Regions from separate parts of the Mus musculus genome. Here region 2 is reported to be linked to region 1. The links are microRNA targets in miRTarBase. Many come from high-throughput screens and were not tested one by one. Region 1 holds a microRNA gene; the other region holds the end of a gene's coding sequence.
Evidence for each region. The annotated mature microRNA mmu-miR-497a-5p reads CAGCAGCACACUGUGGUUUGUA and lies in region 1 at 4,575-4,596, opposite strand. An mRNA with a match to its seed (bases 2 to 7 or 8) in the 3' UTR can be bound and repressed. Matches are read on the target gene's strand: a 7mer-m8 pairs with bases 2 to 8, a 7mer-A1 pairs with bases 2 to 7 and ends in A, and an 8mer does both.

Region 2: the mRNA of Erlin2 is a reported target of mmu-miR-497a-5p. Seed matches in the 3' UTR shown: 8mer at 3,159-3,166 and 7mer-A1 at 3,624-3,630.

What each region holds. Positions count from the first base shown.
Region 1 is chr11:70,231,308-70,239,325 of GRCm38, reverse strand. It overlaps Mir497 (microRNA 497), which reads right to left and starts at 4,609; the gene lies at 4,526-4,609. 0610010K14Rik (RIKEN cDNA 0610010K14 gene) reads left to right here and starts at 1,412. Exons shown (of 6, transcript NM_145758.1): 1 at 1,412-1,542; 2 at 1,701-1,795; 3 at 2,348-2,449; 4 at 3,115-3,302; 5 at 3,526-3,630; 6 at 3,862-4,122. The coding sequence starts at 1,522. The coding sequence ends at 3,866. Rnasek (ribonuclease, RNase K) reads left to right here. Exons shown (of 3, transcript NM_173742.3): 2 at 312-388; 3 at 856-1,203. The coding sequence ends at 997. Mir497b (microRNA 497b) reads left to right here and starts at 4,510; the gene lies at 4,510-4,634. It also overlaps Mir195a and Gm40191.
Region 2 is chr8:27,035,038-27,043,055 of GRCm38, forward strand. It overlaps Erlin2 (ER lipid raft associated 2), which reads left to right. Exons shown (of 12, transcript NM_153592.3): 11 at 977-1,056; 12 at 1,396-4,400. The coding sequence ends at 1,599. Plpbp (pyridoxal phosphate binding protein) reads left to right here and starts at 7,518. Exons shown (of 8, transcript NM_054057.4): 1 at 7,518-7,676. The coding sequence starts at 7,578.

The DNA of each region.
Region 1 (8,018 bases):
GGGCCCTCAAGGCCGCCACTTCCAGAAATATGAAGTGTTTCATCTCCATCTGCTCCCATGATAATGACGCGCCTCGGAGAGCTGTTTGCCATATACCTCCCTATACCCAGTCACTCTTCCCAAGGTCCTACCTCACGCCCTGTTCCACATGGCTGAGTCCGAATCCAGATACAACCACCAGATACAACTAGCCCTTTCTAGTTCATCTCTGGCGCAAGTGTTGGGCCAACATTAGACAGGGGAGGAGCCTAGGGAGCGACCAAAGAAGTAAGGTAAGAATTTGACAACCTATCTATTCCTTACTCTTCCAGATAATGCTCGGGATATTTTTCAATGTCCATTCTGCTGTGTTAATTGAGGACGTTCCCTTCACAGAGAAAGATTTTGAGTAAGTGGTCGGGTACTTGGGCGAGTTGGGCGTGGATGAGGAGTAGCATGGTTTGGGTTTATGGGGAGGACACTTCTGAAGACTGGACATTTGTGGCCCTAGGTTGGGGACTTCAAGAAGAGGGCTGCTCTCTACAAAGTAGTTGGGTGGCAGCACGCAGGGTCCTAGTTTCAATCCCCAGCGCGAGAGACAGAGACACAGAAAGGCATGTACTTAGGAGCAGTCTTGCAAGCCACGTTTCCATGGCTACCCAAGCCCACCAGCTTAGATGTGGCCTCTTCCAATATTTTGCCTTCCTGCTCCTTGGTCTACCTCTGTAAAATGGTTACCATGATAGAATTCATTTGGTATGCTTCTTGGGAAGACTAATAGGAGTTAAAGTGCTTTAGCATGGTGTCTGATGCATAGAACTTGCATATTGGATGCTCTGAATGGCTGACATTTCCCTGCTCGCTCGCCACCTTCAGGAACGGTCCTCAGAACATATACAACCTGTACGAGCAAGTCAGCTACAACTGTTTCATCGCCGCGGGCCTCTACCTCCTCCTCGGAGGCTTCTCCTTCTGCCAAGTTCGTCTCAACAAGCGCAAGGAATACATGGTGCGCTAGAGCGCGGTCCGCCTCTCCCTCCCCAGCCCCCTTCTCTATTTAAAGACTCCGCAGACTCCGTCCCACTCATCTGGCGTCCTTTGGGACTTGTGACCCTAGCGAGACGTCATCCCTGGCCCTGCAAAACTGCGCCCAGCCTCTGGAGGAGACCGAGGGTGACCGCGCCCCGTTCTGAACTACAATAAAAAGAAGCGGTTCCCCCTAAGCTTGCTGTCTGTGCTTTCAGGGAGGGGCGGGCCCGGGCTGGAAGGGGCTGAGACCGGCCTCATCGAGGAGTCCGGACCCTCCGACGGAAGTGGAATGAAGCTAGCCGGAAGTGAAGCAACGTCTTCCACCTCGTCTTCCTCCGCGCGGCGAGGCCCCTTGAGTGACTGGGGAGAGGTCGGGTCTCGGCCAATCAGCTGCAGGGAGGGCGGGACTTCCTGCGCGGGAGCCCGAGCGGCCGGCTGCCGGGCTCTCCGTGGTTTCCAGCTCGCGTGGTGGTGGTGGCGGCGGAGCGTCTCCGTGAGGAGGTGCGCGGGGCCATGACGTCAGCGTCCACCAAGGTTCGACCTCCCTCGCGGACTGCGCTCCCTGGCGGCCACGGGAGGGTGGGCCCCCTGCCTGGCTCCCGGCTGGTGCGCGCTGGGCGGGGGGCGGGCGGATCCGAGGCTGGGGTGGGACGGCGCGCTGCCGGCCCCCCGTAATGCTGCTCCGCCCCCAGGTTGGAGAGATCTTCTCCGCGGCCGGCGCCGCCTTCACGAAGCTCGGGGAGTTGACGATGCAGCTGCATCCAGTCTCGGACTCTTCCCCTGCCGGGTACGTGAGACCAGCCTAGGACCTGGACTCCGAGATCAGACGCTTGGACTCAAGTCACAGACACGACCCTCTCTAGAGCAGGGAGATAGAGTAATTCCCCTGTGCCTGGCCCAGCTCAGTGTAGGTGGTAATTGTTGAATTAGTGGATGACAGGTAAAGAGACTACCGAGGCCACAGCCCTCCACTGCAAACCGACAGAATGTCTGCCACCTACCCCAAGCCCTGTGGACTCCCTCAAACTGCTGCCACACATCTTTCAAGGGTTGTGTTTGTAAGGCCCCTACTTGTTTCATTGGTTTCCGTTGGGTTGTTTATGGAAGCTGTTACATGATGAAGTGATGTTTTCAAGTGGCCCTGGATGTAATTTCATGTGGCCAGCGATTTGTCCCCAGGGCTTTTTTTTTTTTAAAAGGAGGTCCTTTTTATGAATCTTTGAAAGGTGCCCCTAGAGACTAGGGGGAAGAGGCTGCTGGCTGTGGACGGAATAGCCTGTGGGCTGGTTCCACACATCCCTCTTCCACTTTTGTTATCACCCTTCTCCCCTTCCGACAGTGCCAAGTGGACGGAGACGGAGATAGAGATGCTGAGGGCTGCTGTGAAGCGCTTTGGGGACGATCTTAATCACATCAGCTGTGTCATCAAGGAACGGACAGTGTGAGGGAGGGTGGCTGGCAGAGAAAGGGGAGGGTGGGCAACTTTCTTCCTCCTGACCCATTGTTCTCTCTCAGAACTCCCAGCTCAGCATCTTTCCTACTTTGTTCCTAGTTTTGTTAGCATTTCCTTGAAGACTGAGAGACTGTCACTGTGGCAGTTGGTCGGAAGATCAGGAAATGCAGTGGTCACTAGGGCCTGCAGAGAACTTTATTTTCATGGTGCCCAGATACTCAGTGGTTGTGTTTGATGATAAGAGTTCCCTAGCTATTTATGTAAATCCTTTGAAACTGGCATGTCCAGGGGATGCATTCTGAACTAATTAGTTGGTCAGGTTCTATGACAGTCTCAGTCTACCTTTATGTCACCACAACATACCTGGTGGTCCTACAAAACCATGCATCTCTCCCAGAGGATCATGAAAAGGGCCTTTCTGGCCACTCAGTTCAGGGACTCCATTCATCTTAATCTATTAGCCCTAAGTGGATGCAAAAGTTCTGAACGTGGGGGGGGGGGGGAGGACCCTTATTACACATGAACTGGGGCCTTGACCTGGATATCTACAAAGGAACTCCTAGAATTCCTTCAGAGTGGCCCATTATTCCCTCCCCTCCCCTCTTCCCTCGGCTTCTCTGATGACACCCTAATCTGCTCTCTCTCATCTTCAGGGCTCAGATAAAGACCACTGTGAAGCGAAAAGTGTATGAAGACTCCGGCATCCCCCTTCCAGCTGAGTCACCCAAGAAAGGACCCAAGAAGATGACGTCCGGTGTCCTCTCACCTCCAAACGCCCCTCCACCCAGCAGCTCCAGTGTCCCTGAAGCTGGGGTTCCTCCCATAAAGAAACAGAAGGCTGGTGAGGGCTGTGGAGTTGCTGCCTAGGGTAGGGGTTAAAGGTCCTATCTGAGATTCAATAAGAGAATTGGGCCTGGGTCAAAGAAGGAGAGACGCTTCTCTTCTGTACGCTGGTGATTCCAGAGTGGGTAGAGGGATGTGTAGAGCATGAAGCTTTGGCAGACTGGGAGGAGGGAAAGACAGCAGTCAGGGAAACCTAGAACTTAGCCTATGCCCCCTCCCAGATGTGACACTCAGTGCTCTGAACGACTCCGACGCCAACAGTGACCTGGTGGATGTCGAAGGGCTAGGAGAAACTCCTCCAGCCAAGAAACTCAACTTTGACCAGGGTAGGAGTCCTCCTCCTCCCACGCTGGCTGGGGGTGGGGAACATACTCACCTGGATGGTAGGGGAGGGTCCCCACAGAAAACCCCTTTCTGGTGCAGGGGCCTCAGAAGGAAGATTCAGTGCAGGGGAATGGGTCAGTTAGTAATACGGCGTTTGAGGAGGTGAGGGTTTTCTTGGAAAAATCCTCCACGCTTGCTCCATCTCTGTCCGTTTTCCTTCCTGTTCCAGACAGCCTGACCCTGGACTCTGGCCTCCTCACCACCTCCGCTGATGCTCCTCTCCTCTCCTGCTGAGCCTTCCACCTCTGACCCTCATTGTTCACCCTGGACCTGTGGATCACCTGGGACTCTAAGCAAGGACTGCCTGAGAGAGGGTCAGAGGGCTGCTGGAGCCATCCACCTCGTTCCTGATAACCATGTGCCCTCGCCCTTTGACTTCTGTGTGATGGACATTTTTATACAGAAAATTATAATTAAAAAAGATTCTCTCAACATGGTGCTGCCAGCTGCCGTTCCCTCTCCTCTGCTTCGCCCTCGGGGCTTGGCCCCTTCTCAGTAGCTCTCACCACCCTGCCTGGAGCAGCACAGCCAATATTGGCAGACTCACTTCCCCATGCCAATATTTCTGTGCTGCTAGAGCCAGGAGAGTTGGGTGTGGGCAACAAAGACTCTACTTTGCTCTGTGGGGCCAGAACTCATTACCAGGGTTCCTGATAACTGGTATCAGACAACCTGGGGGTTGCAGAGGGGCTCTTTCCAGTGTCTCCTGTCCCACCTTGCAAGAACTTCATCACAATACCCTAGACGGTGTGTGTGTGTGTGTGTGTGTGTGTGTGTGTGTGTGTGTGTTGCTTCTCCAGGGTGGCCTCCCAGGGCCAGGCTCATCGGTGCCTCCCATACCCTCGCTCTAACACCACAGTGTGGTTTGGACGTGGCCACAGTGCCGTACAAACCACAGTGTGCTGCTGGGGCGGGGGCAGGACTGGGGTGGGTCGAGAGGAAGACAGCACAGGCAGTGCCGTGAAGACCCCCACCTAGAGTGAGACAGAGGTGTGAATGGCAAACATGGCCCCCCAAAAAAGCTGGGGGGGGGGAACAATCAGGAACCAGCAAAAGTAGTTTAGCAGGCAAAGGATAGGGCCCTGGCAGATGAGTCCAATGTGATAAGCTTGGAGCATTCTTCACCTCTGTAGGAATTCAGCTCTGGGGATCCTTAGGAAACGGGATGACTGGGGAAGACCAACAAACTGCCTCCCACAAAGGCAGGGACCTAAGGTTTCCTGTGTCCATTCCTCCCTCCCTAGGTCAGAACCCAAGAGAAATGCTGGAAGACACAGGGCCAAGGACAGCAGGGTTGGGAGTTGGCAGTCCAGAGGTGGTGGGGCTGGAACACGGTTGAGAGAGGGGGGCCGGAAGTCGCCCTGGGCCCTGGGCCTGCCACAAGATGGAGGCCAAAGGCAGGAAATGGAGGCCAGGGAGAAAGGGATGCAGCAGAGCCCAGGAAGAGGCTCATCTGGACCAGAGGGCAAAGTATTCAACCCCAAGTGCTGCTTCCATTCCCCATGGTCCCCCAAGACCCACGCCCCACCCACACAGCAACACTCATTAGCCCATTCACCAGGCCCAGGCAAGCAGGCCCACCCCTGAGAGCCACGTTTAAGCAAAGACAAACATGCCTTTTCCCCACCCCCAACCCTAGGCCTTCCCATAGCCCTTTCCTCCTGTCCAAGACTTGATTTTAAAAAGAACCTCCCAGAAGGCAAAAGTTTCTTCTGGAAATTTCAAAACAAAACAAAACTCTGTAAACCCTAGATATTAACCTCCCATATCTCATCCCACCTTTTAGCACCACCAGGCTTCCGACACACCCCCCCAAAACTCTTAGCAATCAAAAGATTTAAGATGGTGTGTGAAGCAATCTTTTTAGGCCCCCCTAGTATGCCAGACCCTCTCCAAGACTACCAGATCACCTATATCAAGCCCTGCCAACGCCTCCTGCTCCTTGCACCCTCCTGGACCCCCAGAAACAACTGCTGTCCCCCAGCTCCCATCCCAGCAAAGCTTTTGTGGGGCTAAAAAAAAAAAAAAGCAAACACTGTCCTAATGTCTGTAGGAATATTGGGGGCTCTCAAGTCTCAAGCTTTGGTTTCAGTATGAGGTGCTACGTCTTAGGGGTACAAGAGAAAGCTTCTCTGGTCATCCCCCCAATTTCAAGAGTTACAAGGCGCAACCCCACCCCAGCACGCACCTCCAAACCTCCCCCCCAACCGCCACGTCTCTCCTGAAAACAGGGGACACTTTCCTCCCCACTTACCTCAGCTACTCTCCCCTGAGATCCTGGTCCCCTATTTTGAAAGGAGCAAATTTTGGGGTGCATCCCTCACATTTGGGGTGCAGGAGAAAAGAGACGCCCCAGTCGCATCGCTGGCCTCCTTCCTCTCAGCTGGCTCAAGGACTGGGGAGTGCCCTGGGGTGGGGGACCCCCACAAGAGAGCTCTGGAGGGGTTCCTCCACTCCCAGTCAGAACTGGGGACACCCCCCCAAAACCCGTCCCAGCCCATCCGTCTCCAACTCGGCGGGAGAGGCAGCTGCATTGCCCCAGTCAGATTCCCCCAACACTACATTCCTCACCCCATCTAGAGGGATCCCGGGGCCCCCAAAAAATCCCAAAAAAATCTAGGATGTTGGGAAGATGGTCCTGAACTAGCTACCCAAATTTGGGGTCCTTAGATACCCCCGTTTTTTCAGGAAAATTCTGTCTTTCTCCTGCCTCCCGCCAGCCCTGCTCTGTCCCGATGCCAATTTTGGAAGTCACTCCCTCCTTCCTCCTCCCCGTTTCTCCAGGCCCCCCCGCTTGGGGGCTAGGGTCCAGGACACCTGGTTTCCAGACCGGGGGACACTCTTTAGAAGGCTAGGGGCCAAGAGGTCAAGCTCATTGCCCCTGTCTCAAGGAAGCAGGAAAGCCCGATCCTCCCCTCCCCTCCCCTCCCCCCTGGCTGGTCTCGGTGGTGGTTTAGGAAAGCCTGGAGGACTGGAATCTGCCATTGCTATTGCACAGGCAGTTTTTTTTTCCTTGAGTTGGGGGGGTGGGCGGTGGGAGGGAGAGAGGGGAGGAGAGCCGAAGAGAGCAGGGACCTAGGCGGGAATATCTGGCCTGGCTTACCCTCTAGCCCCTGCTGCCGTTGGAAACCCCTCCCCCGCCTCTCAGTTCACCCTCATTCCCAATCCTCTGTCTGCTTTCTCTTTGGGGCTCTTATCTTAAAATATCAGGGTGCAAGATTCACCCCCCCCTTGTAGACCATCACAGCCTTTCCTTGCCAGTTTCAGCAGCACTGTTAGTCAGAAAGTACCCACTTTAACAAGAGACACCCCATCTCCTCCAAACGGATTTTTTCTTCCATAAGAAATCGGGGTTCAGAGTATGAAGCCACCTTTCCCCCCTTAGCACAACAGGTCATATTCCAGTGAGTCTATGATGGACCACACTGCTTTTTCCAGGCTTCACCCTTCAAATTCTGGCCTTATTTGGGGGTTCACTAATTTTTTTTACAATCTGGGGTGCCAGGGGACTATCAGCAAAAGATAACCTAAGTCAGAAGTGTGCTTTAGAATAGGTGAACCTCCAAATCAATTTCAATTTATGACCCACCTCTCAGCTTCACCAAATGTGGCCAGTGGCAAAACACCCAGAAACTGGATACCCCCCAAACTATCCTTCTACCCTGGGGGGGCTTCTCAATTCTCTCCTGTGGAGGAGTTTCACACATAAACATGTTCACAGGAATATCCAACCCTCAAAATGAGTTTCCACAAGATTCAAATACAAAACTTTGCCCCCCCATCAATCAAGCTCTCAGCTACAGAAAGCCTTCAGATCCTCTCCTAGCTTCTGGCTCTGCCACCAACTCAATGTAACTGGGCTCTCTAAAAAGCCCCAAGTTGACCTTTATGTCCCCAAACAATCTCATCCAAACCTTGAAACAGCACTTGGAAAGAGACTATGTCCCCCAAATTAGTTGCGTACTCATGCTCCCCCAGTAGACCAGAAATTAGAGATGGACAGTCTCACATGGGAGCATCAAATCCCTCCAAACCCCCGAACTAAGACATCTTTAAAACCAGCCCCGCACCTCCAATTTGCTATCAGCTGTCGAGACTAAAAACAGGCCTTATTGACTACAATAACTTCTATGGCAAGTGACACCCCAAAACTCAGAATAGCTAACTCTGTCCTGACATCAAAGCCCTTAATGTTTTCACCTCAAATTTGGAGATGAAAATTGGATAGAGACCAAATAATCTTCACAAAGTAAAGCCACATCGTCATCCAGGGTCCCTAGCTATCCCCAACCCCCAGTTGGTTTGCAGTTTTGTTTGCTACGTTTGCTTA
Region 2 (8,018 bases), not on the chromosome of region 1:
CAAAAACACCAGTAGCGGGCCAGCTGAGATGGCTCAGCAACGGAAGCACTCACTGCCAAGCCTGACAGCCCGAGTTAGATCATGGCAGAGGAGAGACCTGAGTTCCCTAAGTTGTCCTCTCACCTCCACACATGTGCCATGCTGTCCGTGCTCCACCCCTCTCAGTAAATAAACACTGTAATAATGAAAAGGTTTTAATTTTTTTAAAATGGTGGAAAGTAAACAAAAACAACCATAAACCAGCATCCCCAATTAATTATTGCCCCTGAATATTTCCTTGTGAATGTGATTGGAGTGCAGCTGGCGCATCCCCGGGCCACAGGGCTCAAAGCTGAGCTGGGCATCATCACTGAGCCGGAGGGTTACTGCTACATGAAGTGCTGAAGCAGGTCTGAACCAGACAGCGCTCCTCTGGACCAGCATGCACGAATCTAGAGTTAGCCAACCTCATCACTGTTAGAAACTTTGGGGAGATGAAGTTGGAAAGGGTCATCTGTGGTATTGAACAGGCAAGGCAGTGCATGTTTGTAATCCCAGCACTGGAAAGGCAGGGTCAGGGTGACACCATATGATATGCATAGTGTACATCATGTATGATGAAGCCAGATGGAGGTGTCCTGCAGTAAACCAAAGCTCTTGCTGCACTGTCGGGAAGATCTCACGTTACTTTCTTTTAGAGAATTGGTTTCTCTGTACTAACAGGAAGTCTGCATAGTCCAATGCTAGCCTAGCTATAAGGTGAGACCATTTCAAACACAAAACACACACACACACACAAAACAATCTCTCCAAGGCCATGGAGACCAGAAAGTGTCTTTGTTGGGTTTTTGTTTTCTGCAGTGCCAGGAATGGAACCTGGACTTTATGTGTGCTGGACAAGTGCTGTCTATACCACTGAGCTATAATTGCCAGCCCCCAGACTGTACCTCCCATGGTTTTGTACTTGATCCAGTTCCCTGCACCCTTCACCCCTTAGATGCTGCGTTCCTGGCCCGGGAGAAGGCGAAGGCCGACGCTGAGTGCTACACAGCGCTGAAGATCGCAGAAGCAAATAAGGTAAAGGGCGCCTGACCCACCGTCCTGAGGAGGTGTTGCCTCTGCCGCTCGCTACCCAGAGCCCTCACAACAGAACTGAGGACCCTCTGCTGGGTTAGACAGCGCTTCTCTTGTGTGGGAAGCCTTAATAGAAGCTTCATTTTGTATTGAACAGGAAAACTCTGGAAACTGTTGCTACTCTGTCATAGACCTTAGATTATTTTCTCTCAGAAAAAAATGGTTTCTGGGTAACAGGGAGGCCATGAGACATGCAAACACATGTCTGCTTGACAGATGCCCTCCCCAGATGAAGTTCCTCTCTGGTGTCCCCTCCCTAAGCTCTCTTCACTTCCATCACAGCTCAAGCTGACTCCAGAATACCTGCAGCTGATGAAGTACAAGGCCATTGCTTCCAACAGCAAGATTTACTTCGGCAAAGACATCCCCAACATGTTTATGGATTCCGCAGGGGGGCTGGGCAAGCAGTTTGAGGGGCTGAGCGACGACAAGCTGGGCTTTGGCCTAGAAGATGAGCCCCTCGAGGCACCCACAAAGGAGAACTGAGGAAACACTGTCTGCAAGCTCTGCTCGGGCAGCTTAGAGAGAGCTGTATTCTTTAAGATGAGACAGAGCAAAGCGCTCCTCCTTTCCACACTACCTTCCTTGACTCTTCTTACTGTGGTTAAAAAGGAAGAAATGGACACAAACTTACCCCCTTCTGGGAAGGGAGAGCAGATGGAGAGTTGTTTTTTGGGTTTATTTTTAATTCAGGTAAGTAAGTTGTATGACTTCTGAGAAGGTGTATGCACCGTAGATTTGACCTCTGACCTGCAGACACCAACATTGTCACTTTGAAGCTGGTTTAAGTGGAGCTACTGTCAGTATGAAGAGGGAGAGTGTGTGCTGCCTCCTCGTGCTTGAATTCCTTCAGGGAAAAGTGTACTCCACAGTTCTCTCCCTTGCCTCTAGTGTAGGCAGTGTCTGCGTGTGGGGCTCGTGACAGAAGGCCGTCTGCTGCGGAACATGAGCTGCAGAGAGCGTTGGCCGGCTGGGCTTTTTGACTGAGTGGATTACTTGAGAGTTAAGCTGTCTTGAGCCCTTTTTAGGAAGAACTTGGTGCTAGGTTTTGCAAGGTTTTCTACACACTGTACTCTGCTCTAGTGTTTGTTGGCTACATCTCACCGCAGCAGGGCTTGGTCACACCACACACTCCTTTTCCGTACTTTGACCTGATCTGTGATTTCATTTCTTCTTGAATAATCTATTCATGAGTTGCACTCAGCGTTAAGATGGGAACAAACAAGTGCTGTTAGCTGATGACGTAGCTCCTTATACCCCTTAGCACTGTGGTGCTGTGTGGCTAATTATGCGTATGCTTTTGAGACCAAACATCTTTATCATTATGGAGATTCTTCATTGAAGAGCCCTTAACACTGTGGAGAAGGGCCCAGCCAGATGACACCCAAGTAGTAGTGCCTGTGGCCTGTGCTGGGGCTTTGTCTGACACTGATGAAGAGAGCAGGCAGCCACTTGAGAGTCGGCTCCAGTGAGTCACCCTAGGAAACTGAGAATGCGAAGAATAGATATGAGAGAAAGGGATTTCTTATCCTGAAATTGCACTGGGGGTGGGGCTCTACCATGGCCTGTGAGTGCACACAGAATGCCTCTGTGGAGGGCAGCTCTGCAGGTAATCTGCAGACATGGCAGTACCCTGTGCAACCATGACTGGCTCTAGCTTAGGACTTGGCCTTGTTAGCTGGTCCCCTACCTCATCCTCCCCCCACACAAAGCACCTACTGTTCTCTCTTAGGTGACTACTATAAATGGTATTTTCTGGCATCAATTCCCACCTCAGTTTTGGTTTTGTAAGTCGGGCCAGTTTGCTCCTAAGTGGCACCAGACTTGTCAGGTATTTGGGAAGCATTCAGCCGACCCAAAAAGAGGCAGGGTTCACTGTGCTTACTTCAGATGTTCCCTTCTCTGTCCTGACTCCTCAGGCCACTGACCCTGGCCACACTGTACAAACTACAAAATGTTCCTGAAAAGGACATTTTAATGTGCTCAAAAGCTCTTGCAAAAGTGGGTTTTTTTCCCCAAGACCAACTCATCTTCTTCTCATTTGTTGCTGCTAACCACTTGTTGAGAGCAACGTGCTATACCCAGCATCCTCTCTTGTACGTGCACCTGAGAAAACACTACTTCAGTGGAGTCGGTGCAGGAGGGAGGGTACCCCGCCATCCAGCGCCCTCCTAGCCCGAGAGGCTCTGTAACTAGCATTCTGAGAGCTCATCCCTCCATTACAAAGAGCCACAGTAAAGTCCTGCTGCAGCTGCTCCTTCCCTGCCCCTTTAATGTCACTTCTTTAACAGAACAGAAATGTCCCCATGTCATAGCATAAATTCAGTAGCTATTGGTATCTGTCCCAGCAGTAAAATCATGGAACTCAGATGTCTTTTTAGCATGGGATGCCTAGCCCATCTGTCTTTATGACCTTGTTTTTTGTAATACTATAAAATCTGACTTAGGCATTTGAATTCTAAACATGTAAAATGTGATAAGCCTGCAGTTTTGTAGGCAGTGAATTCATAGCTGCTATTTTTAAGTAGAACTTCTATCAAAATACGTTAACCGTTTGTAAAATTCAGTTTTTGTAGGACTTTCCCAAGGCCCAGCCACCTTGGTAGAATGCTTCTCACTCACTAAATGTTGCAGAAGCAATTTATATTCCATATAGGTTTTTAATCACTTTTCAATATATGGTTAGAATGTTTGTAAGGAAGCCTAAGTTTAATAATTTTTATATAACTAAAAATAGGTGTGGAGGACTCAGTGTGGGTACTGAGGAGGAATGAAGTGCTCTGAAAAGGGAGGTGTATAAACGGCCTGTGGGGCCGTGTGTCTTGTGAAAGTGAGATAGCCGTGCTTACTGACCTGGGCTGTCGTCAGCTGGCCGTCGGTAAACTACCTGGACAATAGCCCCTCTGTCTGGGAACTTTACCTACTTCCTTGTCCTCAGTGGGCTTCTAGCCACTGTTTGTTTCCTTATAAAAGCTGTAATGGGCAATCATGTGTTTGTACTTCCATTCCTTTTTATCTCTACTTCTGTGTAAACTGGTGATTGAATAGTTAAAGCAATTTTTTCAGTGTGCCCCAAGGGCATTAATGAGCCTTTATAACTGAGAAATGATTCTTGTTATAGTAATTATTCCATAAATGATACCACTAGATAAATTACCTTGGGTTAATAGCTCCAGGATTTGTTTCAGACAACAAAAAAAGGTCTCAATGTGAATATACTTACATTTTGGATTTAATTTCAGTCTTGCTAAATAAAATGTTTTTGTCTTTTTTTGATTAAGGTAAAATTTACCAGTAGATTGGAGGACAGGTGATAGAAATCAAACTTCCTTCTTAGGCTTTCCCTAAAAATATATCCAGGTAATATAGATTCTTACCAGCATGCTGGTACATGCCTTTAGCTCCAGCACCCGAGGAGAAGGATCTGTTTGAGCCCAGCCTGGTCTGCATAGTGAGACTATGGCAAAAACAAACAGAATTAACACATTGCTGCATTTCTCCAGAAGATAAAGGCATTCCCAGTTGACCCTAACCTCATGTAATATCAGTTTAAGTAGGTAACTCCCAGACTGGCTGTGGCAAGCTGCCTCGCCTAGTGTCACTAGATAAATGTTAATGTCAGTGAACTTTACAAAAACTATATACCATCCAAATGTTTTACAACACCTACTTTTATAGAAGAATTTGCACTTGATCTGAAATTTGCATTTAACTGGATATTTTCTTTTAAATAACAAGTTTGGGATATCTTGGTTTGGGTTTTGGTTTAGTGTATGTAGTATAGGGTATTTTGCTGATGTATGTCTGTATTCCACATGCATACCTGGTGCCTATGGAGGCCAGCTGAGGGCATTGGATTTCCCGGACGGGGCAGTTTTGAGTTGTTCCTTGTTTGCTGGAATCAAGCAGGGTCCTCCTCAAGAGCAGCCAGTGCTCTTAACCTCTGAGCCATCTCCCTCTCCCCCACCCTGCCACAACATAGTTTTCTTGGTTTTTTTTTGGGGGGGGGTTGGTTGGTTGGTTTTGGGGGTTTTTTTGGGGGGGGGGGTGTCGAGACAGGGTTTCTGTGTATAGCCCTGGCTGTCCTGGAACTCACTCTGTAGACCAGGCTGGTTTTGAACTCAGAAATCCTCCTGCCTCTGCCTCCCGAGTGCTGGGATTAAAGGCGTGCGCTTCCCACCATGTTTTTCATTGTTGTTTTCTTATGTTTTTCTTACACTGTGCTTCCTTTCTTTTTGAAAATGGTTCTTTCACAATTTGCACTTTGACCATAACCCCCACACACACATTAGCATCTTAATCCCTTACCCTCCCATCAAACTTTTCTTCCCATCAAGCCCCCTTCTTACTTAAAAAAAAAAATTCACTAAAACTGAGTTTACTTAATGAATTATGTTATTTTTCTTTACTATTTATCTATTCACTTTATATTCCAATATCAGCCCCTTCTCTCTTCCCAGGCCCCCCACACACACACACACACAGCTCCTCCCTCCATTCTTCCTTCCCCCTTCCTATGAAAAGGGGGCAGCCTTCCCTAGATATCACCCCTCTGGCACATCATCCTGTTCCCCTACGTTTTATTTTTCTTTTAAGTAGGGTTGCTTGCATAAGCCTGAGCTGTGAGTTATTTAGGCAAGGGCAACTTTCTAGTAGCAACACCACTGAGAAATATGGCTCCCCTTCCTCAGTAAGCACAGCTGTCCCACGATCCTCAGGAGCTCCCGCCTCATTCACAGCCCCAGTCCTGCACAGGTGACCACAGCTGTCGCCGTTGGTAATGGGCACAGGAGATATAGCAGTTCACACTACACCTCCCTACTACCCTCTGGCTCTTAGTTTTGTTTTGTTTTTTTCCATATCCCCCCCCTCTTCCAAGAGGTTCTTTGAACCTTGAAGGAGGTAGCACAGATGCTCTGATAGGGTTCAATAGTCATTTATTTTGAGCACTTTGACCAGTTGTGACTCTGTTAATCATTATCCATTGTAACACAAACAGCTTCTTTATCCAAGGCTGAGGTCAGCACTAACCTGTGGATATAAATATTCTGAAGACAGTTTGCTGCCATGTCCATTTAGCAAAACAGTAGTAGTAGGTTCTGTGTGTGTTTATGTATATGTGCAGATAGGTAGGTAGGTAGGTAGGTAGGTAGGTAGGTAGATAGATAGATAGATAGATAGATAGATAGATAGATAGATAGATAGAGGCCCCACCCTAAATCTGTAGTATTTATAGGTCTCATTTTTACATCTGTGTACATATGTATGTATACATCCTTGTGCATGCGCACATGCTCAGACACCCTGGCATTCATGTGGAGATCTGCAGGAGTCTGCTTTCTCCTTCCACCATATGACTTTGGACAGCAAGCGCCTCTGACCCCTGACCTGTCTTATCACCTTCAATTTTTTGAAGCAGAGCATCTCTTTGACTTCACGTCCATCCCAGCCTTCACGAACCCTTTAAACTTGACCCACTTATTCCTGACTAGTACTTCCCAACTGCAGCTCCACAGCCAGCTTCTCATTAGGCTCACTCTGTAACAGCCTTCTGGGCCCTTTCAGGTTTTGGGGTTTTTTTCACTGTGGTGACAGCAGTATATGAAGAGGCATTTACCTTCAATATCATTACTCCTAAAGTCTGGGAATGGAGAGAGAGCACTTACTGCTCTTATAGAGGTTCAGAACCCAGCACCCATCTATCCACTCATCAGTTCCAGAGAGTTCTATGCCCTCCTCTGACCTCTGTGGCAGTTCACAGACTTAACGTTCAGGGGAAACACCCACACAACAAAAATATAAATAAAAATATTTAAATTAAAAGGGGGCTGGAGAGATGGATCAGTAGTCAAGTGCACCTGTTGCTCTTGCAAAGGACCAGAATTCTGTCCCCAGCACACATGATGGCTCACAACCATCAGGTCGAGATCCAAAACTCTCCTGGCCATGGCACCACAGATACGACGGTGCATGCACATACATACATGAGGACAAAACAAATCAACGCACATAAAATAAATATTTTAAAAAAGAAATAATAGCTGGGCAGTGGTGGCACACGCCTTTAGACCCAGCACTTGGGATTTCAAGGCCACCCTGATCTAGAGAATGAGTTCCAGGACAGCCAGGACACAGAGAAGCCCTGTCTCGAAAGAAATTTAAAAATGGGAAGGAGAGGGGAGGGAAGGGAAAGGAAAAGAAGAAAGGAAAAAGGAAAGGAACGGAACGGATGAATGAAAGTTACTTTAATGTCTTGGTTTATACCGGCCCGCCCAGCCCTTGAACTCCCTAGGAGGCTTTCAGTCCGGGTAACCTCCGCCTTCCCCAAGATGGCGCCCGCCTGGGTGGCCAACCTCCGCTGGGGAAGTGGCTGGATGGTGAGCGGCGATTGGACCTCTCAGGAAGGGGGCGGGACCGGAAGGTGGGCTCGGTGAGTCGCGGGTCCTCCGGGCATCCTCTTGGGAATGTTGAGAGGTGGCAGCATGACGGCGGAGCTGGGAGTCGGGTTCGCGCTGCGGGCCGTGAACGAGCGAGTCCAGCAGAGTGTGGCGCGGCGGCCGCGGGTGAGGACCGGCGGAAGGGCACTGGGGAGGGCTGGAAGGGGGACACCTACGTGGGACGAGGTGTCACGGTGACGCAGAAGGGGCTCCCGGAGGGGCGGGGGCTGCAGAGGGGATCGCTGGGTTTCCATGGCGGTCGGTCTGGCCTTGAGGATCGGGACTTGCCGGGAGGTTGGCTTGGTTGGAGAAAGGTGTTCATTTAGGGCAAGTGACTCGTATCCAGGCGTCTCGCCATTCGTCATTGCCCTCGGTACCACCACGCCATTCGTCACCACGGTACTAGAGCCCTGGGAGGGCCGTGTCCACCCGCGATCACGTGCGTTGCGGCGGCCGCGAGCCGTGGTC